Notamacropus eugenii: one gene and its partners. The protein of the gene in region 1 binds, or shares a complex with, the protein of each later gene. Links are inferred from orthologs where the notes say so. Each region holds a gene or a part of one and is shown in the gene's direction. Other genes may lie near its edges.

What was found. Proteins that work in one complex are often made in the same cells at the same time.
Region 2: ZNF541 (region 1) and SAP30 share a complex: the UniProt entries of both Homo sapiens proteins name them as parts of the histone deacetylase complex. The link is inferred for Notamacropus eugenii from reciprocal best matches to the Homo sapiens genes ZNF541 and SAP30.
Region 3: ZNF541 (region 1) and DNTTIP1 share a complex: the UniProt entries of both Homo sapiens proteins name them as parts of the histone deacetylase complex. The link is inferred for Notamacropus eugenii from reciprocal best matches to the Homo sapiens genes ZNF541 and DNTTIP1.

The regions. Positions count from the first base shown.
Region 1 is NC_092876.1:29,482,758-29,490,770, reverse strand, and holds the start of ZNF541 (zinc finger protein 541), read left to right. Parts: upstream 1-4,921; 5' UTR 4,922-5,506; intron 5,507-8,013. UniProt on the Homo sapiens protein: Transcription regulator which is essential for male fertility and for the completion of meiotic prophase in spermatocytes.
Region 2 is NC_092878.1:87,835,617-87,843,583, forward strand, and holds the start of SAP30 (histone deacetylase complex subunit SAP30), read left to right. Parts: upstream 1-4,899; 5' UTR 4,900-5,027; coding exon 5,028-5,369; intron 5,370-7,629; coding exon 7,630-7,755; intron 7,756-7,967. UniProt on the Homo sapiens protein: Involved in the functional recruitment of the Sin3-histone deacetylase complex (HDAC) to a specific subset of N-CoR corepressor complexes. Capable of transcription repression by N-CoR.
Region 3 is NC_092872.1:475,368,805-475,376,856, forward strand, and holds the start of DNTTIP1 (deoxynucleotidyltransferase terminal-interacting protein 1), read left to right. Parts: upstream 1-4,984; 5' UTR 4,985-5,128; coding exon 5,129-5,233; intron 5,234-5,423; coding exon 5,424-5,494; intron 5,495-6,588; coding exon 6,589-6,685; intron 6,686-8,052. UniProt on the Homo sapiens protein: Increases DNTT terminal deoxynucleotidyltransferase activity (in vitro). Also acts as a transcriptional regulator, binding to the consensus sequence 5'-GNTGCATG-3' following an AT-tract.

The DNA.
Region 1 (8,013 bases):
AGGCCTATTTCTTCTGTGAAGTCTTCCCAACTCCTAACCCTGACTGAGGCCCACCTAGAATTATCTTTCTTTTCAATTTCCATAGCACTAACTACATATTTCATTTGGCACTTAGACACTAGTGCCACCTTGTATCGTTTAGTTTTCTTTACAAATAAATATTTGTTATATATTTATATATTACATATTTGTTATATTTACAAATGTATATTTGTTACATGTTTGCAAATATTTGTCTACATGCATGTATACATAAGGGGATTAGCACATGTGTAGAGTGCCTTTGAAGATGTCTCCTCCTGTGAAAGAGACTAGGGGGCTGCCAGAACTGTGATAATGTATAACAGAAATGCTCTGGAGAGATGGTAGAGTGTGCAGAGACATTCTGTAGCTGGTTCAGGTCTGCCAATCTCGTGGTGTATAGGAGGCTCTTGGATGGGCAATGGGGGTCTCCTAGAAGGACAAGTAAGCAAAGGCTTGGCCATTTTCTCTAAAGATTCCATCGTGGTAGATCTCTTGGAATCCTTTGCTAATGGTATCTGATAATAGACAATGCAGTAAAGGGGAGAAGTTTTGGGCCCTCTCAAACAAGGTTGAAATGTGGTCCTGTGATGGGTCTTGGTTCTTGATCTCTGTTTTCTTTTTCATTCTAGTTGAATGGATTAGAGGCTCTGTCCTTGGTTTTCTAAAAGTCAGGAGAACAAGCATGTGGCCAGGCAAGCATCTGTATTTTGTGGCCACCTCAGCATTGATGCCCCAAGGAGTGACATTTGAGACTCAGATTGGGGACACCTCAGACAAGGACTCATCCAGAAATTACGCTGCCTTTGAATGTGAACTCAGTGGGACCAATGCTACATAGCAACTGAACTATGTTTGAACCTATCCTCCCTAATGACCAAGGTGGGATAAGGAGAGTATGTTCCCTTGAGGTATTGGGGGAATTGTTTGTATTTTTGTTATAGTCCCTTTGAAGGAAATACCCCTGTGTAAAAAAACTAATTAATATCAAGTGGTTAAATGGAACTGATTCCTAACAGTAGGGGTGACAACACAACTAGTGAAGGTTTGAGTCGATGACAGTAGAGAAGAAACACCCTCCAACCCCTCAAGAAACCCCTAGACCCGTGAAGGGTATGATGAAGCTGGTCTATTTCTAGAAATGAGCCAGTGTCATATACTCACACACACACACATGCACGCACACGCACACACACACACACACACAAAATACATGTAATGGGGGATGGCCAATAGAGCCCTAGTCCTTCCAGTATGTACAATCTGCTCGGCTTGGGGCCAACGTGCAAGGAGGCTTGGGGATGTCCATCTAAATCAGACCTACTCTTCCAATCCAAGTCAAGAAGCCCTTCTTTAGGAAGCCTTCTTGGATTGCGATAGCTCACAATGATTGAGCCCTCCCCACCCTGAGTTCTTATAGCATCTAAGAGTTTATAACACTCCTTCGGCACTTAATTACACTATTTTTTTTTTATCTTTATTTCTATTGTTTCTTCTCTCATCATCTGCATTTCTCCACTGTCTCTGCTCCCCCTCCTCTGACAGCCACACAACTATAGACAGTTATCTTTTCCTATGTACACGCCTTCCTCCTTTTCCCCTATTCAAACACTTCCCATCCTTCATGTCCCAGCTCAAATGCTCCCTCCTCTATAACACTGTGAAGTGAGCTCTTTCTCCCCTGAATTCTTCCTGGAAATGGTCTTTACCTTTCTTGTGGCATATTATGGTTCTTTGTAGATTGTTTTATCTCCTTCCCAGACTTCTGAGTCTAAGTGATCATTTCTTAGTTATCTTTGTAACTTTCAGATTGACTAGCACAATGCCTGACCCATAGAAGGCACTTAACAAATATTTGTCAAGTATTTATGTATTGTCTTATCTCCCTAATTAGGCTGAGGGTTGGGCCTCTGTCTTATTTCATCTTTATATCCCCAACCTAGCCCCGCACTCTTGCACCCATTAGACATCCTGTAAATGTTAAACCAATGAATGCCTTATCTCCCTAGCCAGAAAGACTGTAAACTTTGCCAGGGTAGAGACTGACTTCATTTTTTATATTCCTAATTTAGCAGTACAGGACCTTGGTGGAGGTAGGTTAAAGACAGAGACCAGAGCGCCCTATCACCTGATAACTCCAAAGCATCTGCCCGTTGAATGCAAGACAAAACGACAGGGTTGATCTTCCTCGTTCAGTCTTGGGAAGACACGGGAGTTGGCTTAATACCTATGTTTCCATTTTCTCTTCATCTTCACCACTAAACATCTATTTCTGGCTGAACAGTGGGCAAGGAGGACCCTCTTCTTCTTTGAGAGGTCGGGCTCCACAAGGAACATCTTGCCAGCTTCTCAGGGCGGGGGTGTAGCCAAGATCTCTCAGTTAATAGGGAGGGCTCTCGTTCTTTCTGTCAGCCCCCCCCCTGACTCATTCATTCATTCCCAGAGCCTGCCACACGAGGCACAGCAGGGGAGATACAGATGGATGAGACAGCTCCTCTCCTGCCCCTCCAGCTTCCACGTTAGCACAGGAGATAAAACAGACACATAAATCCAAGACACAGCAAAATAAAAGAAGCGCTCTCTGGAAAGCAGGAAGATGTTACCTGAGAGATCCCAGCCGGGAAATCATCCCACCTTTTTCCTTACGTCATCCTTCTCCAGGCGACCTGCTCCATGCCCTCTCCAACGCGCTTTGCCCCTTCCTGCCCGTCTGCAGAAGCCGGAGGGCACTGCCCACCCTCCGTGACCCGGCTGGAGGATGTTTTGGGTTGTTTCGCTGAACTTGTTCTTCGTCCTGGGGCAGGAGAATGGGAAGGGCCGAGTTTGGGATGGAGGCCGGGCAACAGCGGCCTCAGTACAAACGGGGCTGGACGCGGCCTTGCCCTGCCCGGGTTGGCCCCCAACCCTCCCGTGGCACGCCGAGGTGACCCCGGGGCTACAGCGGCGACACGACCCAGGTGGGAGGCAAGGGTTTTATCCGAGGGGTGCTAGGGGGAGGTGGGCACACGAATGCCCCGCAGCACGTACCGGGCCTAGCTCCCCGGGGCTCTGAACCCCCCCTCTAACCATGCCACCCCCCCACTGCCCAGGTTAAAATGGCAATCTTGCAGGAGCCTAGCGGGAATTGGGGATCCCACCATCTTCAGCGCCAGCCCCCCTCCCCGGCGAGGAGGGAACCTGCGTCCTCGAGGCCGCCTGGGGCCTTCTAGGTCCTCGCGTGCGGCGAGGACTGAGCCCCTCGTACAGAACAAATCCTTTCATTGGGGGGTTTGTTGTGTGAAGTTTGGGTTCGGTCAAAGGGCAGCACTCGAGGCCCTAGGGGCCCTCATGTGGGCCCGCGCCGCAGGTCTGCCCACTCCCCACTGGGCGGTAGGCACAAGGGGCTGGGCGCTTGGCAGGGGCTCGGTCAGTGTTGGTTAATAGGAGGCCACCCTTCTCACTTGACAGATGGGGAAACTGAGGCCCGGCTGCCATGCTGGCGGAAGCAGCGGAGGCCCCACGTCTTCCACCGAAAGACTTCAAAGTCTTCCCGCCCCCTCCTCTCCAAGGCCCAGTCCCTCAGGGGGCTTCTGCTCTAGGCCGCGCCCCTCGTCCCCGGAGCCCCCACAAAATGGCGCCCAACGGTTTCTCCGCCCGCCCGTTGCCCCGCCCCCACCCCAGCAGGTGGGAGGCATGGGCCTGTCACGTGACCAGCGAGCTTTCCCTTTCCTCCGCCTAGGCAGGCGGCCCTGCCTCGTCCCGTAATTTTCCCTTCCCCCCCTCCTTCTCTGCTTTGCCTTACTGGGGAAGGCAGTGGGCCAGTTCACGTGACCACCCCCATAGCTACCCCCGCCTGCCGGCGACATGTCACGTGAGTCATTACTCTCAGCCTCGCCCCTCCGGCACGCGAGAGGGCGGCAGCGGGCGCCCGTCACGTGATCGCCCCGCCCCAGGCGAAGTTCAAACTCCTCCTTTTCCCCGCCCAGGCTCCACCCCCACGAAACTCCGCCCACCCCCTGCTGCGCGCGGGAATCCGGGTAGAAACCGAATGTGAAGAGTGGGCGAGGCGTGCGTGCGTGCGGCCTAGGAGGCAGAGGCCGACGCCTGGAGGCGACGCACTCGCGCGCGCGCCGCGCAGCACGCTCGCCTTCACGTAGCGCGCGCCTGGCCCGGGCGGGCCGGGCCGGGGAGGGAGGGAGGGAGGGAGGGAGGGAGCGAGGGGGGGGGGGTGTGTGCGCGCGCAGCTTGGAGGGAGAGAGAGGCAGGCGGGCGAGCGCCAGGCACGAAGCGCGAGGCGGGCGCGCGAGCCCCCGGGGGCGGGTAAAACCCGGTTGCTGCTGCTGCTCCTGCCCCCGCCCCCGCCCCCTCCCCCCTTCCCTCTCCCCCGACTTCTCCCCCCCCAGACCTCCTCAGACCCGCCCCCTCCCCCCCAACCTTCTCAGGCTGGCCCCCCTCCCTCAGGAGGCCCTACCCCCGCACCTGCACCCCCAGGCCTTGCAATCAGCGCCCCGCCCCCGCCTGCCCCCTCGGAGCACCCCCTCCCAGCAAAAAGCCCTTCCTCCCCTCCAGCCCCCTCCCCGAAACAAGCATCCCCTCCCCCACCCTCGGAGCACCCCTGCGGCCCCCTGCCGAGCATCCCCTCCCCACAAATGCCCCTTTTCCGTACCCCACCCCCTCCATTTAACACCCCTTCCTAGCAAATGCCCACTTGTCTCTGCCCGCCATTTAGCAAATGTCCCCCCCGCCAGACCGCTCTGGTGTAGCAACCCCCCCTGGCACCTGTCGGGCCCCAGCGGGCCCTCGTAGCAGATGCTGCCCCCCGCAGGCCCTGCCCACTTACCCTCCCCCCTCGCTCTCCCTTGAATCCTCCCCGTTGGCGCACTCTCAAGCCAAGCATTCTCACCCAGTCCTCCCGCGTAGCAACCACTCTCAGGACCCCAGCCTCTCAGCAAAATCCCTTTCTTGCTCTGATCTCCACCCCTTGCAATCGCCCTCTTCCCCTACCTCAGATCCCTCATTTTGAGCAAAAATCTTTTCTCCTGGAGGTTCCCCTCCAGGAAATCCCCATCTTTCCACCTCAGTCACTCCCATTTAACCTTTCCTAGCAAATAACCCTTTTCCCCACCCAGGTCACCCTCCCTCCCCAAGCAAAAATTCCATCTCTAGTCCCAATTACAATTCTTCCTCAATTAAGTCTCTCCTTCTGCAAAACCCGCTTCTGCTTCTCTTACCCTTCCCAGTGACAAAGCCTCCAAAACCCCAGTTGACTATCCCCCCAGCTGCCCCTTCCTAATCTTGACCCTCCCCTCCCCTTCCTTCCGCCACCCACTTTCAGGACCAGAGGGAAAAGCTGTTGAGCAGGGCAAAGAAATTGAATTTGTGTCTGAAATTGGCACCCAGCACACTGGAGGAAAGCCCCTGATGGTCGGCTTGTCTGCTTTCTGAGCCCCCTCCCAAGGGTGCCTAAAACTGACCCCCCCCCAAGAGCCTTGGCTTGGCTCTTCTGGTGAGTATCCTTCCTCATAGGATCATAGACTTGGAGCTGGAAAGCCCCTTAGAGGTCATTTCATCCAACCACCTCATTTTACAGAGGAGGAAACTGAGGCCCAGAGAGGTTTTTGTGGCTTTTTGAAGGTCACACAGAGAGTAAGTAGGTGACAGAAACAGGGTGCCATCACCTATTGGGAGCCACCTTGTTAGTGAGGCACCTTTCTTTAGACCAATCTGCATTTACCGGGTATATCCCACCAACAAATGTGAGCCCCTTGGGGGTGAGGGTTGTTGTCATCTCTTCAGTGCCTAGCACGAGGTCTTGCACATCCAGTCCATAGTAAATGCTCCCTGCGTCATGCAGATAAGACACCACCCTGTCGCCCAATCCTCTTCTCAACCGACCTCTTTTCCTGCTGGAGAATTTTCCTTTCAGTAAATCTGAATGGAGACGGGAGACTCAGGGAGTCCCCCAACTAGTGGGGTGCAAAAAAACAGAGAACAGTAATAGATAGCAGGGTGAGGGTCCTACCGAATGGATGTGGACTCCTAAGTACTGTGGGGAAAAAAAAGTGGTTTCTGATGCTGGAAAAGCAGGGACAGGAAGCCTAGTATTTACACCTTGAATAGCAGTTGACATGTATATAAGCTTCAGGGTTTGCAAATCATTTTACATAATGTTCTCCACCAGTCCTCACCATCAACCCCTAGAAGGTAGGTGCTTCTATTCCAGTTCTATGGATGAGGAAACAGGTTAAATGAGGTGTCCAAGGCCTTCACCTAGAAACAGTGAAGCAGAATTTGAACTCAGTTCTTCTTGACTCCAAGTTCAGTGTGCTATCCACTCTACTGTTACCCCATCTCTCTGGTTTAATTTTGGGGCTGCTTATCACCCCCAAAGGGCTGATTTATTCTTTCAATTTTAAAGTGGAAGAAAGAGACCGAAAGAGACAGCTAGTAAGTGACAAGAGCAGAATTGGTGCCCGGGTTTTGTGACTCCCCCAGTACCATGATTTGTCAAACTAAAGTTTTTCTTGGACAGATAGGTTAGCGTAGGTTAGGGTGTAATTCCTGGGTTTGCTGAGAAGCATTTAGTATTCCCTCCCATACCTTGGATACAATATAGATATGGAAAGATACAGATGGTTACTTTTACTCCTGCCCCCATTTATTTTTCCCAAGTGACTCCAGCCTGTTGTTTGCTCTCTTGCAATCGCTAAAACTAAGATTTTTTTGTGACCGGTGAAAAGAAATCATTCATTTAGGCAACTATTGTGTAACCTTCCAGGATCATTATGAGTTGTGATTATGTAGCAGTCCTTTAGTGCCTGTCATGCATAGAACTGGGGAAGATGGGACACTGAGCAAAGATGTGGCCCTTTGCCTTCCTGCCTGTCTAGGAAGGGAGGACGAGACATACGCACCCAGAAAACCAGCATTCGCAGTCACTCTTGCTGAGTGTGTCCAAGGGGAAGAACAAAGGAGCAGTGTTCCTGAGGAGGACTCTGGGAAGGCTTCCTGGAGGAAGGGGCTGGGTAGGGCTTTGTCAGGCTGAGGGGCAGGGAAGGAAGAACATCCCAAGCATGTGGCACGATGTGTGGGGTCAGGCCCGCAGGGACAGATGGCATGTTAGTATGGGATGAGCTCCACAAGGTGGTGCTAGAGGAGGCGGCGTGAGTCTTACCAGTCAGTGAATGTCAGGGTTAAGCCACAAAACCTCTCTGAGGGGTTTGGGGGAAGGACAGGCTGGTGGAAATAGGGGTTTATTTACAGTTGAATTTGGACTTGGTAGTCGCGCCGATGTGTTCCACCCTACAAGGAGGAGTAGAAAGAGTTTGGGGTTTGGGGTCAAGGGAGCCCTGGGTTCAAACCCCATGCTTGATACTTCACTTGGAGGAGCCTTAGTTTCCTCATCTATAACATGGAGATGGCAGTACGCAGGCTCATTATGAGGATCAGAAGATAACAGGATGTAAAGCTACAGAACAAAATGCTACAAAAATGTCAACTCATGTAATCAACATAATGTTATCCTGTCCCCTGGATCTTGGGGTTTATCATCCAGTCTGGTCCCCTCATTTTACTGTTGAGGAGATTGGAAATCAGAGGGAGGATGTGATGGTGACTGCTAGGGGCTGAAGGGTACAGAGCACTGGACTGGGAGTCAGAAATCCCCAAGTTCAAATCCAGCTTCGGACACTTACTAGCTGGGTGACCCTGGACAAGGCACTGAGAATCTTTGCCTCAGTTTCCTCACCTGTAGTAAGGAGATTTTAGGGTTGTGAAGATCATATGGAATAATATTTGTAAAGCACTTTGCAAACATTCTGGCCCCAAATAAATGCTAGTGATGATGTTGGGGATGTAGCACTAGGTATTATGGAGCCTGGACCCTCCCACTCAGTGGCTTTTCCATTTCGCTACATTGCTTTCTCTCTCTTAAAACCACTGGAACAGCATTTAAGGGTACTGAGACCTATAAAAGAATATATGCTCAAGCCCCAGTGAGGAGATAGAGAACTG
Region 2 (7,967 bases), on another chromosome or scaffold:
AGAGAACAGTAATAAACTTAAAAACATAATGGCAGTGAAGCATATTTGTAGGTAGTATAACAGATCTTGAAGTTCTCTTTCTCCAGAGTCCTGAGGAGTTCACAGCAGGGAACACCTTTGATGACAGACAAGTAACTGGTTCTCAATTGGAATGATTCCTTGAAGGACATAGAATTTCTACTAGGGAAGCTGATCCATTGCAATGTGGACTTTGCTACAAAGTAGTTTTGTATTTGAGAATTGGAATCTTACAAATATGGATAACAGTTCGCAGTTTATTGGAAAAATAGCTGACTAGGAAGTGCATGGACATTCTGACCCTAAGTCAGAGTGAGGCCTCTGAGAGAGACGTAGTCTTTGGTAATCAGGAAAGAGAGAAGAAAAAAATGAATTAAACTTGGGGGCATTGGTCAATGAAGTTGGCATTTTAGGTGGTACAGTGGGTAAACTACTGGACCTGAAGTCAGAAAGAACTGAGTTCAAATTAGATATTTACTAGCTATATAGTCTTGGGCAAGTCACTTAACTTCTTTAAAGTTAGTTTTTTCCTCTGTGAAATTTGGACCATAATAGCATCTTTCTCATGGGTTGTTGTGAGCATCAAATGAAATAATATTTGTATAGCACTTAACAAAGTGCACACAGTAAAAACTATGTAAGTTCTAATTCTAGTTATTACTATGTTGTTATCTGTGTTTTACAATGCTTGATGTTTGGAGTGAGGAATCTCCTTTAGGAAAGGAAATATTCATTCTTGCTTCTGAGAAACAAGCAGACCAAAAGGACTTTTTACTCATCAGTGAGTGGATATTTTAGGGTTTATGCCTATTCTAAAGATCTATGGCAGAGAAGCCTCTGCGCTTTAAGCTAAAGGAGCAATGGCTAAAGGCGCTCTTCTTGGGAGAAAGAGTTTTGCTCCTCTCTTGAAGAAGAGATAAGCATTCCCAATTAAGCCAAAAGCTGTTAGTAAAGAGAATCTCCATAATCTCAGGCTCAGTGGGGCTGTACCTGGCAAAGACTAGCAGGAACCATGTTAAGCATATAAAGCAGAGAGCAGACCAGGTAAAGGGCAGGTTGAACTGACATCTCCAAAAGGAAATGGAAACTGTGCGGCATCAGAGTATTAGTGACCTTCCAAGTATGTGTCTTCACTACATGTGTTGGTTACATGCATCCTTCTACATGCTTACCTTGACCATATGTGTTCTATGCATGAACACTATCAGCTAGGTGGTACCATGGAGAGAGTGCTGGACATGGAGCAATCAGGAAGATTTACCTGAGTTCAAATCTGACCTCATACACTTACTAGTTATAACTCTGGCAACTCATGTAACCATATAATCTGTCTGCCTCAGTTTTCTCAAATACAAAATACCTATTTCCCTGGGATGTTGTGAGGATCAAGTAAGATATGTATAAAGTGCTTAGCAAAGTGCCTGGAACATAGTTGGCATTTAACAAATGGTCATCACTTCTACTCCTGTCTTCTGACTCCAGTCAGTCAACCGGTAATCATTTCTTAAGTACCTACTATGTGCTAGGCACAGAGATACTCACTGGAAACTTCACACCAAGGACTTTAACTACTGCATTGTTCTTTTCTGCCCTCTGGGACCAAGGATCCCAATACTACCTCTCTTCCACATGCTATCCCTTCCGACACTGGACAGCTACCCTCCAAGTCTTCTCTTCTCCAAGCTAAACATCCCCAGTTTCTTCAACCAATTTCCATATGTCATGTTTAGTTGGAATATTCACTATGTGAGGGGAATGGTTGAAGAAGAAGCTAGAAAGGTATGCTGACACTAGATTGTGGAGGTTCTTGAATACTAGGAGAAGTATTTTTTATATTTTATTCAATACGCAATGAAAAGGCATCAAAGATTTTTTAATATTTATAGAGCAGTCATGCAGTTTTTTTTTAACTTAAGAATGATGTTCATAATAGTTGCTGCAATAACAAATACTCATAATCTTCATGCCGTACGGGAGAAAAAACTTTCTATATAGAGAAATCAAGCAGGAAAAAAAAATCAAAATGGGATTAGGTAAATACACATTTATTAAGCACTTACAATGTTTCAGGCATGGTGCTAAGTGCTTTACAAATATCTCATTACAGCCTCAAAACAACACTGCAAGATAGGTGCTATTATTATCTCCATCTTATAGTTTTGGAAACTGAGGCAGATAGAGGGTAAGAGCAGTAAAATATAGAAGACATGTGGAGGAGGAAATAGGCTGGAGGCAAGAAATGTAGCTTTCTTGGTATAGTAGTGGAAGAGAGAAGATATAGGACCTAAAACAAGATGATTGTAGGGGGAGTGAAAAGGCTGGTGAGGAATGTGTGTGAAGATAAAAGTGATACTTAAAAGACAGAATTATTTGGACTTACTGGTTGACTGGATAGGGGCTAAGCGTGGGTCAGGGAGAGGGGTGTCACAGACAACTACCCAGATGACTAGATGTTGGTGTCATCAACAGAAATAGAGAAGTTAGAAAAGTGACATGAGTTGGGTGAGGATTTGATTTACTTAAACACATTTATTAAGTGTCCATTGTGGACTCACCCAGCTCCAGTGAAATATGGTTGAGATTTGGATTAGACAGGATAGACAAGGTCCCTGCCTCATAATTCAGTAGGGAATATGACAGGGCAGCTAGGCAGCACCGGAGATAGAAGTCAGGAAGACCTGAATTCAGATCTGAAGAAGTCACTTAACCTGTTTGTCTCATTTTCCTCATGTGTAAAATGAGCTGGAAAAGGAAATGGCAAACCACTTCAGTATCTTTGCTAAGAAAATCTCGAGGGGTCGTGAACAGTAGAATACAGACGAAAACGACTAAACAAGAGGGAATATGACACACACAAACAAAAGCAAGAAAGGATACATAACAAGTGCTGGAGAGGGAAAGTGTTATTTCATGGGATTGGGGGAGAGGGATGGTGGTGACATCAACAGAAATAGAGAAGACAAGGAGAGAGACACGTTTGGGGGAAGATATTCAACTACCAGAGATTCTTACCTTTTTTTGTGTTTTGGACCCCTGTCTGTCTGTTGAAGCCTACGTATGCTCAAATTTTTTTAAAACATGTGTAAGCTAAAATATATAGGATTACAAAGGCACAGTTATGAAAAATTTTTAAGAGTCCCTGGCCCCAGGTGAAGAACTCCTGAAACCAATCAACCACCCACCCAACCTCCTGGGGAAGAGGCGTTCGGTTTAAGTTCGATATAGGCTAGGGTTTCCAGTGCTCCCAGGTCGGGATGTCCAGCAAGCAGCTGGATCTCCCGGACTCTCGCACCTCTGAGGAAAAGTTTTAGAGGTGGAAAGAACTGAACGCATCTAACCAAAAATGAAGAGATTTGAGCGCTCCCTTCGCAGTCAGGGTGTGTGACTGGTTCAGCTCGTCTGAGGATGGCAAGGAAGTGAGTGGGCAAAGAGAAAAAGGCCTACAGCCCAGTCCAGACGGAGCCGGCAATCCTCACTCCGTTATTAACATGTTCTGCACGCCAGCAAAGACGGAACTTCCATCTGACCCCCTCTCTTTAAGCCTGAGCAGCGAGGTGGGGGTGGGGAGGGTGGGGGACAAGGCCAAAGAAAACAGGACGGTCACAAAGACTTTCAAACTTTCTGCCGAGCCGCGTTCGTGTAGCTGGAGCCTTTAAAAGGATAAACGGGCTGGTGCATGTCCACGCCCCCTGCCCTCTCTTGATTTGGTAACCAAGACTCTCTCCGCCTCTTTGTTTTCCGGACAAGTTGTTAGCTCCGCCCAAGGAAAGAGGTGGACAAAACTGGCAGGCTTAGTGTGCTCGGATAATGCAAAGGTTATATAAAGCTTACCCCCGCCCCCGCCTCGTCAACTGACTGGGAGAGGATGGGGAAGGGGGGCGCGAAACCCAGCCGGGTTCGGGTTGCGACTCTCACCAGGAAACCCACCTGGCTGTGGGCAAGAGTCCCCGTTTCCCTAGCTCCCAACAAGCCGTTGGAAATGCGGGGGCTGGAGATCCGGGGAGAGACTTGGGGCACTGTCCACTGGGCAGGATACCTGGACTCAGCGGCAGGAGGTCCCGGGAAGGGCGCTCCGGTCTGCGGGGCTTTACACTGAGCCAAGGGTAGCTCGGTGCGTGAGAGGCCCCGGGACCCTTTCCCCACCTTCTCCACGCCCCCTGCCTCCTTTCCCAATGCACACACTTGGCATACGGGGAGCGAAGCGAGTGCCCAGCGGGGCACCTCGGGCAGCCTGCCTCCCAGCGATCACCCCAAAGTGGGAAAGTCTAATCCGGAGAAGCCGACCCTGCACTTCCACTTTTCCCAGGCAGCCAGGAGAGAGCTGAGAAAGAGCCAGGCCTGCCAGCATGTACCTGCGCAGTGCACTTCGGTCTTAGTAGTTCTTCATCCGCCCGGGCGAGCCAAAGCCGAGAAGAAATAAAGTATGGGGTCGAGGGAGGTGGAAAGAGAGCCGGAACGGACTACATTGCCCATAATGCTTCATTCTCTGAGGTGGGAGGGGTTGGAGAGGAGAGTGTTTGTGTTAGGAAGAGGCAGGGAGGGGCCGGCGGAGCGGAGGAGTGTCGCGCCTGCGCACTAGCCGCGGGCTGTGGAGAGGCGGAGGAGGGAAGGGGGAGCAGCCTAACAGCTGAAGAGTCTCCACATGACAGAGTGAGCGCGGTTGGAGCCGGACGCCCCTTCCCGAGCCGGGACACGGAGCCTGCCGGCCCGGGACGAAGAGCAAACGCCGGGCCGGGCGCAGAGGATTGTCGGGGTGGTCGTCGGCCAGTGCGGAGTGAGTTGCCGCTGGGGCCCGGGCCGGAGCGGGACCGCTCCGTCCGCCCAGCGCAGGTGCCTCGGGGGCCGGGGAGCGGAGCGGGGACCGAGGCCGGAGCGCAGGCTGCTGCCTCCCCCTCGCTCTCCCGCCGTCCGGTCCGGCTCCGGGTTCGCCGCGGCTCGGAGGGGTGCGTGAGCGGAGGCGAGAAGGGGGCTCCCCCGGCCGCCGCCGCCGCCTCGGAGGGGAGGCCACCATGAACGGCTTCCCCCCGGACGAGGTGAGCCGGGGAGGGGACGCGGCCGCCGCCGTGGCCGCCGTGGTGGTCGCCGCTGCCGCCGCTGCCGCCGCCGCCGCCTCGTCCGGGGCGGGCGCCGGGGCCGGGGCGGGGGCCGCGAGCGGGGCGGAGGTGCCGGGCTCCGGGCCGGCGGCGGCTGCGGCGGGTCCCCCTGGAGCGGCGGGCCCGGGCCCCGGGCAGCTGTGCTGCCTGCGGGAGGACGGGGAGAGGTGCAGCCGGGCGGCCGGCAACGCCAGCTTCAGCAAGAGGATCCAGAAGAGCATCTCCCAGAAGAAGGTCAAGATCGACCTGGACAAGACGGTGAGTGACCCTGGGGCCCCGGCGCCTGCGGGCGGACTTGCGGGAGCGGCGTTAGCCAAGTCACCGCAACTCCTGCGGCGGCATCGGGAGCCCCCTCTTTCCCCATCCACCCTCTCCTGTCTTCTTCCATCGCGTTCACCTCCTTCTCCCATTCCCCCATTCACCTTTATCTTTGGCCCCCGTGCCCTTCCACCCCGTCCACCTCTACGAACTTTTCCCACCTCCTCCTTCCCCTCCTCCCTTCCCCCCACCCCTAACTTCTCTCATCCCCCCGTCACCCCTCAGTCTTCCTTTGCGCCCACTTCTCCCCCTCCTCTTCCCTTCCTTCTTCCCCCTCGGCGTCTTTTGGGGCACGATTGGGAAGCGAAACAAAGCGGGGGAAGCGAGCAGGGGAAGAGTTGTTTTCCTCGCCGCCCCGTGGCCCAGCCTGGCAGGGAGGCTCCTTTGTTAGGCTGCCCGAGCTGGGACGTGGAGATTGGCCCGGCTCGTGGTTGTCCCTCGGTGCTGTGTTTGAAGCCGCCCGCCTGGTCCGGGACAGCCATGGAGTCGGCGGTGGGGGAGCGGGGCGGGGGGCTGCCTCCACTCTCTTCCCCGGACACACTCGTGTATACACACACGACACACACGACACGGAGAGAAGCCTGAGCTCCTCCCACTGTCTGTGGGGGCTGGTGGACAGGGACCTGGGCATTGCCTCGTGGGTGTGTTGCTCGTAGGTCTTTGCCATTTCACGTTCTTGTTGGCAGACCTCCGGGGCTGCCCCCGTGATCGTGTCCGAGGTTTTTAGAAGCTGGTTTGATCCGTTTAGTTTGTCTGCCTGGAGGAAGGTGAAACAACTGTTAGCTCTTTCAAAGGCCAGCCAAAAACAAGCCTCCTCCTTCCTTAAAAATAAGCACGCTCTTTCCTGAATCTTAACTTCCTCTGAGCTTAAAAATCCGTTCGTAAGGGTCTGTCGAGCAAGTCCTTCACGTAAGACAAAGGATCGCCCTTTAGACTATGTGTATTTGTTGAAAAAGTGCAAGAAATCAACTCACATCTGGTAACTGACTAGTATTTAATAAGACGCCGTGCGTTTGAGGCTTGGGGAAAGAAAAAATGAATGATGACATCCCCTCGAGGAGCTTACGTTGACTGGGTTTATTTTTAAAAGTAATATAATAAAAAGTTGATAGAATGTGTTGGGGCCAAAGGAGATCTCTGAAGTACCGAAAGAGAATGTGAGGAGGGAGAAAAAGACTCGTAGCTGAAGGATCTGGGAATGCTTCTCGGAGGAGGCACCTGAGCTAAACCTTGAAGGAATTTTGATTGGCTGAGTGGTAGAAGAGCCTGCATTCCAGGAACTGAAACAGGAACAGGCCAGGCCAGCAGTGCACAAAGAAGGCTTTTCCAGCTCAAGGACTAACTAGCAGTCCAGTTTGGGAACCTAAAGTATAGGACGGGAAGTGATATGAAATAATTTGATTCTAATGTCAACATACAGTTTTAAATAGTGTTACAATCGAAAAGGTTATAAGTAAATTAGTTTGTTTAAAAGTTAACTTGTATTTGTTTCTACGAGTTTCATTTTCTTGAGTCATGGAAAGTTATCTTGAAACTATTGGGAGGGTAGATTCCATTGGAAACAGAAATGTAGACTCGGTGATAATCCAGTTTATTAGGATCTGAATTATGAATAAAGAAACTGGAATTAGTAGTTAACTTTTTTAAAAAAGTTGCTATCTACTAAGTATTTATGATACCCTGATTATAAGTTGGAAGTTGTGTTTGGAAGAAAGAAGGGGAAAAATAGAGAACATGTTGTACTTAAAAAGATCCTCTCTAGAGAAAGCAGTGTGCTACTCAAAAGAGCTTTACAGTAAAAAGAGCCTTTCTTATATTTGAGAGAGACAGCCCTAGACTCATTGCCCTCCCATAGCATTTTGATGCCAGAAAATAAAGGCCTAGAAAAAACTTCTATTGTCTCTCTTCAGCAGCATACCATTTCTGAAATAGACTAGTCACAACACAACAAGGTAAAGTGCTCTTTCCTTTGTATCAGATGAATCGCGGTGATTTCACATGAAGGATTCTGGGGGGAAAAGGAATATGATAGAAATGAAGACGTCCAACTTATAAGTTACTTTTCTTATAACTTTATCCTTAATAATTCATTATAGCATATGGTACTTCCAGATTAGAATCTAGATTTTAGTTTAATTATGTAATAATGAGCTCTGTTGGAGACTTGGGTTTTTTTTGATGATGTCTGTTTTCCCCCCAGGCAAGACACCTCTATATTTGTGACTTTCACAAAAACTTAATTCAGAGTGTTCGAAACAGAAGAAAGAGGAAAGGCAGTGATGATGATGGAGGTGATTCACCTGTGCAAGATATAGATACTCCAGAGGTAGATAAGTAGTTATTATATTTTTTTGTTTTTCAATTCAGCAAATATTTATTAAATACCTATGTCATGAACTAATATTCCTGCAGTGAAATAATTAAAATGCATGTTATTGTTAATAGTTATGCCTGCAAGTAGGTGAAGTTTGACTTTGTGATATTTTCTGTTTTAAGTCTTAATTTGATGTTTAATGTTTCCCATTCTCCTATAAAGAA
Region 3 (8,052 bases), on another chromosome or scaffold:
CTTGCATGAAGTAAACAGCACAAAAAAAATAATTAAGAAAATGTACAATGAGGAAAAAGATGGGAAATTAACAAGCCAAAAATGAAATATCAAAGAAAAAGAATCCAAGACCAGATGGATTTACAATGAATAGTATTCAAAAAAACTATTAATTCCAACATAGCATAAACTAAATGCAGTGATAGGGAAAGGGATATTTCCAATCTCTTTCTAGGATACAAATAAGAATCTCAAGGGAAATAATGAAAAAAAGTGGGAGGAAAGGGGGCCTATCAATACCTGATCTCATACTACACCATAAGGTAGCAATCATTTAAATGATTTGGTAGTGGTTAAAAAACACAGAGGTAGATCGGCGGAATAGATTAGATATATAACACAGAGAAGCAAAAAAATAAAAGGGCACAGTATTTGATAAACTCGAAGACATTAGTTACTATTAGAGATGCACTTGACACACAAAAAGGTATCAAGAAAAATTTATTAAAATAGAGTTCAGAGGAGGGAGTGCCTTCTATGTTCATTACGAACGGATAGCTTCCCAGTAAGGCTATAGGAAGAATTCAACTTGTTCAGATCAATGGAAGCTTCTTATACTGTTCCGAATTTTTGGACCTATCACCACCTGTCCCTTGCCACTTGACTTCATGTTCTCTTCTCTGCTAGGCTTTCCCTCAAACAGCTCATCAAGCCTGTGCACAAGTTTCTGACCTCTACCTGACCATGCTAGGTCACAACCCTGATCACCCCAAACTGTGGAAACAGAACTTCCTTGTTTCCCACAGTTATTGGGATAAAAATCTCAATATCTAACAAAAATTGATGCAAAAACTGGAAAGCAGTTTGGCAGAAATTAGGTATAGACCAAGATAAATTCTGAATGGGTACATGACATACATAAAAGGGAATATTTCAAACATATTAAAAGAGCAAAGAAGAAATTATCTTTCAAATATATGGAGAGAAGAGTTCATGATCAAACAAAGAGGGAAGGTCACAAGAAAAAATGAATAATTTTCATTATGTAACATTTTATAGGTTTTGTATAAAAAGATGAAATAAGAAGAGAAATAGGTAACTGGGGGGAAAAATCTTTTCAGTATATTTGTGTTGTGCCCTATCCAAAATACAGAAGGAACTACTTCAAAATTATGAGACTAGAGCCATTTTTCAATAAATAGCCAAAAAAATAGGAACAAAGCAGTTTTCCATGGAAGAAATCCAATCTATCAATAACCATATGAAAAAAATTCTCCAAGTCACTAAAGATTAAAGAAATGCAAATTCAAGCAACTCAAGAGGGTCCACCTCAGACTCAGCAGATTGGCAAAGATGATTAAAAAAAGAAAATGACAAATGTTCAAAGGGCTCTGGGAAAATAGGCACACTAATGAGCTCTTGGGGAATCTGTGAATTGGTTCAGCTATTTTAGAAATCAATTTGAAAGCATGCACAAAAAAAGACACTAAACTGTTAAACCCTATAACCCAGCCATGGATTACTAGGTCTATTCTGAAAAAAAAATTTAAAAAAAAATAAAAAAGACAGAGGAAAAGGATTTACATGTATAAAAATATTTATAGAAGCTCTTTGATAATATTCCAAAATTAGGGTCTAAGTGGGTATCCACTTATTGGAGAGTGGCTTAACAAATTAAGGTATATGAAGAAAATTAATATTTATTGTGCCACAAAAATGACAAAATGGACAGCTTCGGAAATAACTGAGGTCTCTATAAATTGATGAGTGAGGTAGGCAGAACTAGAACAATTTATACAACATTTTTTAAAAAAGGATTTGGAAAGACTTTAAAACTCTGAGCAACGCAATGTTAAGGCAAAAGTTCAAAAGACTGAAGATAAAACATGGCCCCACCTCCCACCAGAGAGAAAATGGACTTAAAATGCAAAAAGAGACGTACATTTTTGGACTTGGACAACGTGAGAATTTGTTTTGCTGAACTATGCATATTTTGGGGGCGTTTTTGTTTTCTTTTTTTTAAATTGTTCGACTGAGAGATAAGAGAGCAGGAGATGGGAAAGAAAACCAATACTTAAAAAAAAAAATTAAGAGGATGAAAACTGGTCGTAGTCAAAAGGAGGCAACAAAGTGCTTGAGCACTCACCCCCAATTACTTGGTACACCGCAGTACCAAAGATGAAAAGCACCATGATGGGGCAGAGGCTGCCTGAGGATAAGGGTGGGGGCGCAGCATGGACCACAGCTTTAAAGTTTCCCCAAAAAAACAGCTCAGGGAGAGGCCAGAACCTAGGAACTTCCCAGAACTCAGCCCCAGAACCTTCTTTATACAATGCACTGCCAGGGAAATTTCCTGATTGGAAAAAAAAAAAATGGATTGGTTTCTGACCTGATAGGAAACTGTATTTACAAAGAACAGACGTGGGGAGAATAACAGGTAACAGTATGTTCAGCCTCAAAGCCTAACACATTTTCCAAGTGTTACAATGGACAGCTGGTGAGGGCGCTATGGATGACTGAAGAAAGAGTCAAAGAGAAGCAAGCCTACAAGTCTGTTTAAAGAAACAGTACACTCTAGCAATGGGGCTGTGGCTAAAGCAAACTCATTGTGTCCTAAACCTAGCACCCCTTCAAGCTTCTCATTCTGTCCAGAGAAGGAAGCAAAGATACTAAAAAAGAAATAGTTAGAAAGATGCAGAGACCCACTCTAATGAAGTTGCATCCAAAAGCAAATCAAATACATCAGGATTTAGTCAACTTGAGAACCCTAAAAACAAAGAGCAAAGTTACAATTTGGAGGCTCCTAAAAAGCTATAGAAAGCATTAATGTTGTCCACAGTCAATGGCTAAAAAATGACAAGCATCGTCTTTATCTCTCTAAGCTCAACCACAAATGAACAAATGAAGAAATTGGTGGATCCACACTATGAGTAGGGGTAGTTAAGTGGTCCAGTGTGCAGAACACTGGAGTCAGGAAGACCTGAGTTCAAATTTTACCTCAGACACTTACTAGCTGTGTGACCTTGGGCAAGTCACTTAACCCTGGTTGGTTCAGTTTCCTCATCTGTAAAATGTGCTTAAAGAAGGAGTAGGCAAAACATTCTAGTATCTCTGCCAAGAAAACCCCAAAAGGGGTCACTGAAGAGTAAAAACTGACTAAAAACAAACAATACTGATGGTGTGATGGGACCTAGACCCTGAATTTTCCCACACAACCCAGCCCCTGGCATCTTGCCAGAGGCATCTGGCCCAGTCCTGCCCACCTAGATCTCAATAGTCCTTTCACTGTGGCTCTGTGACCCACCCCAGACCACTTAATTCAGTTCACTGCCGCCATCTCAGGCTATTTACTCCTCCTTAATCTCATCTAGACCATTTCACTGTTGTCCCTGGCCCACCCCAGGCCATACCTTAATCCCATCAGAATCTTTGGTCTTTTTTTATATTTAAGTATCAATCTCACCCCCTATCAAGCTGCAGATTCTTTAAGAATCTAGTGTACTCTATGGGTGTTAACTCTCTATTGGTGTTAGGATAAACCTTGCTCCTCTGACTGAAAAAAGGCTTGAGTGCTTGAATTCTTTCCAGGCAGACTCACTCTGTACCCTGACATTTAAGGGTTCCCAGCTACCCCAAACCACATCAATACTATGGGTGCCAATAACTGCTAGTAGCACTCTGTAACATCTCCCTCTTTGTTTCCCCTTTTTTCTCCTTTCTTACTTCCTCTCTATCCTGCCCATGCCTTAGTTTAGTCAGTCACTGCAAGAACCATAAAATTTCAGAACCATAAGGAATCTTAGAACGTAAGCCATAAAATAGCAATACTAGAAGGGACTTCAGAGATTACCTAGTCCAAATTCCTCATTTTACTAAGAAGAAAACTAAAACCCTGAGAGACATATACCTAGATGCTAATGGCAAAGCCAAGGCCAGGATACAAACTGGATCTCAAGTCAGGTGCTTGCCTGATCACCCCTGACACCCATAGTCATTCTGCAGCCTTGCCGGTGGCATTCAGGGCTTACTAGGTTGTTGAAAGAATCCTAACAGAAGAAGGGAACTCAGAACTTCAAGTGAAAACTACCGTAAAATCCAAGGCCTGAAGGAATCTTTCTCCTGCAACAGCAAAAACCAGTGTTGGCTTTAGAGGCAATTCCTGAAAGTGCCATACCTTCTGTGAAAAGTGAAATCTTTTCTGTGCTGTAAACCCATCCATGAGTCTGTAGGATTTGTCTTCAAGCTCTTGAAATGCCTCACTTGGGTATTTAAGGGCTGGTCCGGTCCACATTCCCAGCCAGGCCCCCAAATCACTGGTATCTAGGCCAGAGGGATTCTCCTTCCCGCCCAAAAGGCGTGACTTACTCTTCAGGCTTCAGCTCCTACTAAGGGTGAATCACTCCGATAAGAGGTCGAGGTGTTCAGCCCCAAGGCTGATTTACCTTAGACCCTCGGTGCTGGAAGGCATTTCCGAGATCCCACCTCATGGACAGCGACTCTAACCGAGACGGGCAGACAAGGGAGAGGACGTGCCCACAGTGGGTGGAGGTCAGCCTAGAACCCAGGTGTCCTGCCTCCCAAGTCCTGGACCCCAGGAACTCAAGAATATCAGAGACGGAAGGAATCTTAAAACCCACCCCAACTAGCCAGGTTCATTTTACAGACGAGGACGAAGAGGACCAGAGAAGGAAGGAGACTCGCCCAAGATCCTGCAGGGACGCTTCTCTCCGCGGCCGCGGGCGCAGGGGCATTTAGGGAAACTCAGTTTTCAAACTACCAACCGCCCGGCCCCCCCCCCCCCTCGTAGTTAAACCCGCAGGCTCGGGGGTGGGGGTGGGGGGGTCCCATCAGCCACACCCTCCGCAGAAGCCCCGGCCGACGCCCACCCTAAGCCGCCCTGGACCCCAACAGCCTCTGCTCTCCCTCTTCCCCTTTTCTCCAGCTCCCGGACGCACGCGCCGCTCGGTTCCCATGGCAACCTCGCCGCCTGCCGCGTCGCTCTTCCGGGGGGCGGGGCGGCGCGGCGCAATGACGTGTGACGGGCTCGTTTCCGGCCGGTGGCTAAGGGGCTGGGCCGGACCCCCGGCTGCAGCGGCGACAGCGGCTGGGGTGGCGGCGGCGGCCTGGCCGGGTGCAGGAGGGAGGGAGCATGGGGGCCACTCGGGATTCAGAGCAGCCGCGAGGCCCCAGTGGAGCGGAGCGGGGCGGGCCCGAGCCTGGAGACGAGGGCTCGGCGGGGCAACTGGTGGTCACGGTGAGAGAGGGGCTTCGGGGAAGGTGGGCACGGGCCCCTCGGGTCGGGCCGGGTCGAGGCCTGTCGGGGCAGGGAGCTGGGCTGGAGCGGGGGGCTAGGCCTGAGAAGGGCCCCTTGCCCAGCCCCAACCCCTCCTCCGTCGTCCGAGATCGGGGGCGCAGGGGGCTCACCAGCGCCTTGGTTCCCGCAGAACCCCTGGAACATCATGATCAAACACCGGCAGGTGCAGCGCAGGGGCCGCCGCTCCCAGATGACTACGAGGTGAGCCCGCTGGACCCGGGGACGCTGCGGTGGCACCAGCACCAGCTGCCCCGGAGCCCTCACTGCTGGGGGGGCGGGGGAGGGAGGAAACGGGGAGTCTTCCTTGTTGGAGGCTGGAAATGGACCACTGAAGAAGGTCAGGAGGGCGGACCCAGCTCCCTGTGTGCCGTGAAAGAAAGGGCACTGATGTAGAATGAGAAGATCTAGAAAACAAAGTGCCTCCGTTTATAAAGATGTAAAATGAGAGGGTTTTTTTCTCTAGGTGATTTCCAAAAGTTTGTCTTCTCTGGACCTCAGTTTTTTCTCTGCAAGATGAAAGTATAAGTATTTGGACCAGTTAGTTTCTTGGGTACATTCCAGTTCTAGACCTCTGACATTAGGCAAGTCAGACCTAGACCTTACCTAGACTTCTATTTCTCCCTCTGTAAATTAAGGATGATTCTAGGAGCATGAGATGACTTAGATGGGTTCTAAGGGCATTTTCTACTCTTAACATGTTTTTTCCCCACAATGTTCCCAAAAAATGGAAGATTGTAAGATCATCAGGGGTTAGTTAATGGCCAGCTAGTGAATTAAACAAGTCGATCATGATCTTCCCCGCGTCAAAATCCTTCACCTTAACATAAATCTTCTAGATTCTGCCAAGCATTTGTGGTGATCATTGACCAGTCTTCAGAACTTCACGTGTGTATTTGGGTCTGGAAGAAATCAGAGCCAAAAGTCTGTAGTCTGTAAAGCCTAGTTTATTTATATTCCAGGATCAGCTCCCTCCCAAGACAGATCCCAGAGTTGATAGTTAGATATAAACCCTAGGCTATGCCTATTTTATATCTCCCAAACTAGATTATAATCTCTTTCAGAGCAAGGACTGTCTCTTAAATTTATAATACTGTAAATGTAATAGGAACTCTAAATGTTTATTGATTGATTTTTTGATTGACCATGTTAGAAGTCCTTCATCTTTAAGGTCAGGTATTTATTTAAGGATTATTTAATATAAGACAAGCTATGACAAGAGTCATTGCCCCTGGCAGGACAAAGATGAATAAAGCATTTGTAACTAGTGTGACATTTTTCCCCTTTTTGAAATGCAGCTTCACAGACCCTGCCATCTCTATGGACCTACTTCGAGCTGTCCTACAACCTAGCATCAATGAGGAAATTCAGACAGTCTTCAACAAGTACATGAAGGTAAGTGATGTTGGAGGAAAAATGGGCAGGGAAATACTAACAGACGCACCCTGTTTGCTTGGATCTAATCTTCTACATCAGAATCTGAGTCCTCCTGGGACCCTAAAATCCACCTAATCCAACTCATATATGTCAGAAAATCTTCTCAACCAACATTTCCAGTAAATAATCATCAGAAAACATCTGGTGAGGATATAAATATTCTCACACTGGGTCAGACTTGCAGTCCATCTGTCCTACTATTCTGTTGCTGATAGCCCTCAGGAATGTCCCATGGGAAGGTTTGGTTGTCTTCTCCGATTTCAACCTTAAAGGATAGCAGAAATAAAGGTGATGTCCCATGCCCGATTCAGATCTAGGTGAGTCCCATTTAAGGAAAGATATCAACAAATTGGAACACATCCAAATGAGGACAATCAGTGTGGTAAAAGGCCTGGAGTAATTATTGTTGTTCATTTCAGTCATGCCTAACTCTCTGTGACTCCATTTGGGGTTGTTTTGGGCAGAGATACAGGAGTACTTTGCCATTTCCTTCTCCAAAGGGCTTGAGAACTCTGCCATAAAAGATAGTTTGAAGAGCCTACAGATTTTTAGCTTGAAGAAGGGAAATTTTCTGAAGTAGCTTCACAGATGGAGGGAGGGATGGATAGATAGGTAACTATCTGGGATCATTGAAAGAACTGAATTTAAGAGGAATTAGAGGAGGAATTAGATGTGCTGATTAGCCCTAGATGGCAGAACTTAGATCAGGTAGAAACTGCAAAAGCAGATTTGGGCTAAGTATAAAGAAAAAGTTCATAATAATTAGAGCTATCCAGCAGTGAAATGGACTCCCCTAGAAAATAGGTAGTGAGATCTGTGTCACTGGACATCTTCAGGAGGAGTCTTGGGCAACCACTTGGTCTGTCATAGTGAAGATTCTTTTTGAGGAACAGTTTATATTAGATGCAATCAGAGATCCCTTTCAACTCTTAGATTCTTTGAAGTATACCCCACAGCTATTTATGGCTCTGTCATTGATTCACTTGTATAAGCCCTTTATTTCTTCTGTCTACCTGCAAGGCTTTTTGTGGTAATGAATTCCATTGCTGTTGTACACCTCTCGTATGATGTAGGACTTAGCATTAAAGTCTCAGATTTTTAGAGGTTACTAAATCTCAGAATTGAGGGGAACTGGGTACTCAGCCTTCCTTGTCCAGTCTGTCTCTGAGAGAGCATTTACTCCATAACTTTTGCTTAAGATCTCCATCAAAGAAGAACCCCCTCCCTTCAAGATAACTATCTTCATTTTTGATAGCTGTTGGGAAATTCTGCCTTACCTCAAATCTGAAGTCTGTGTCTTAGCTACTTCTACATATTTTTTTTTT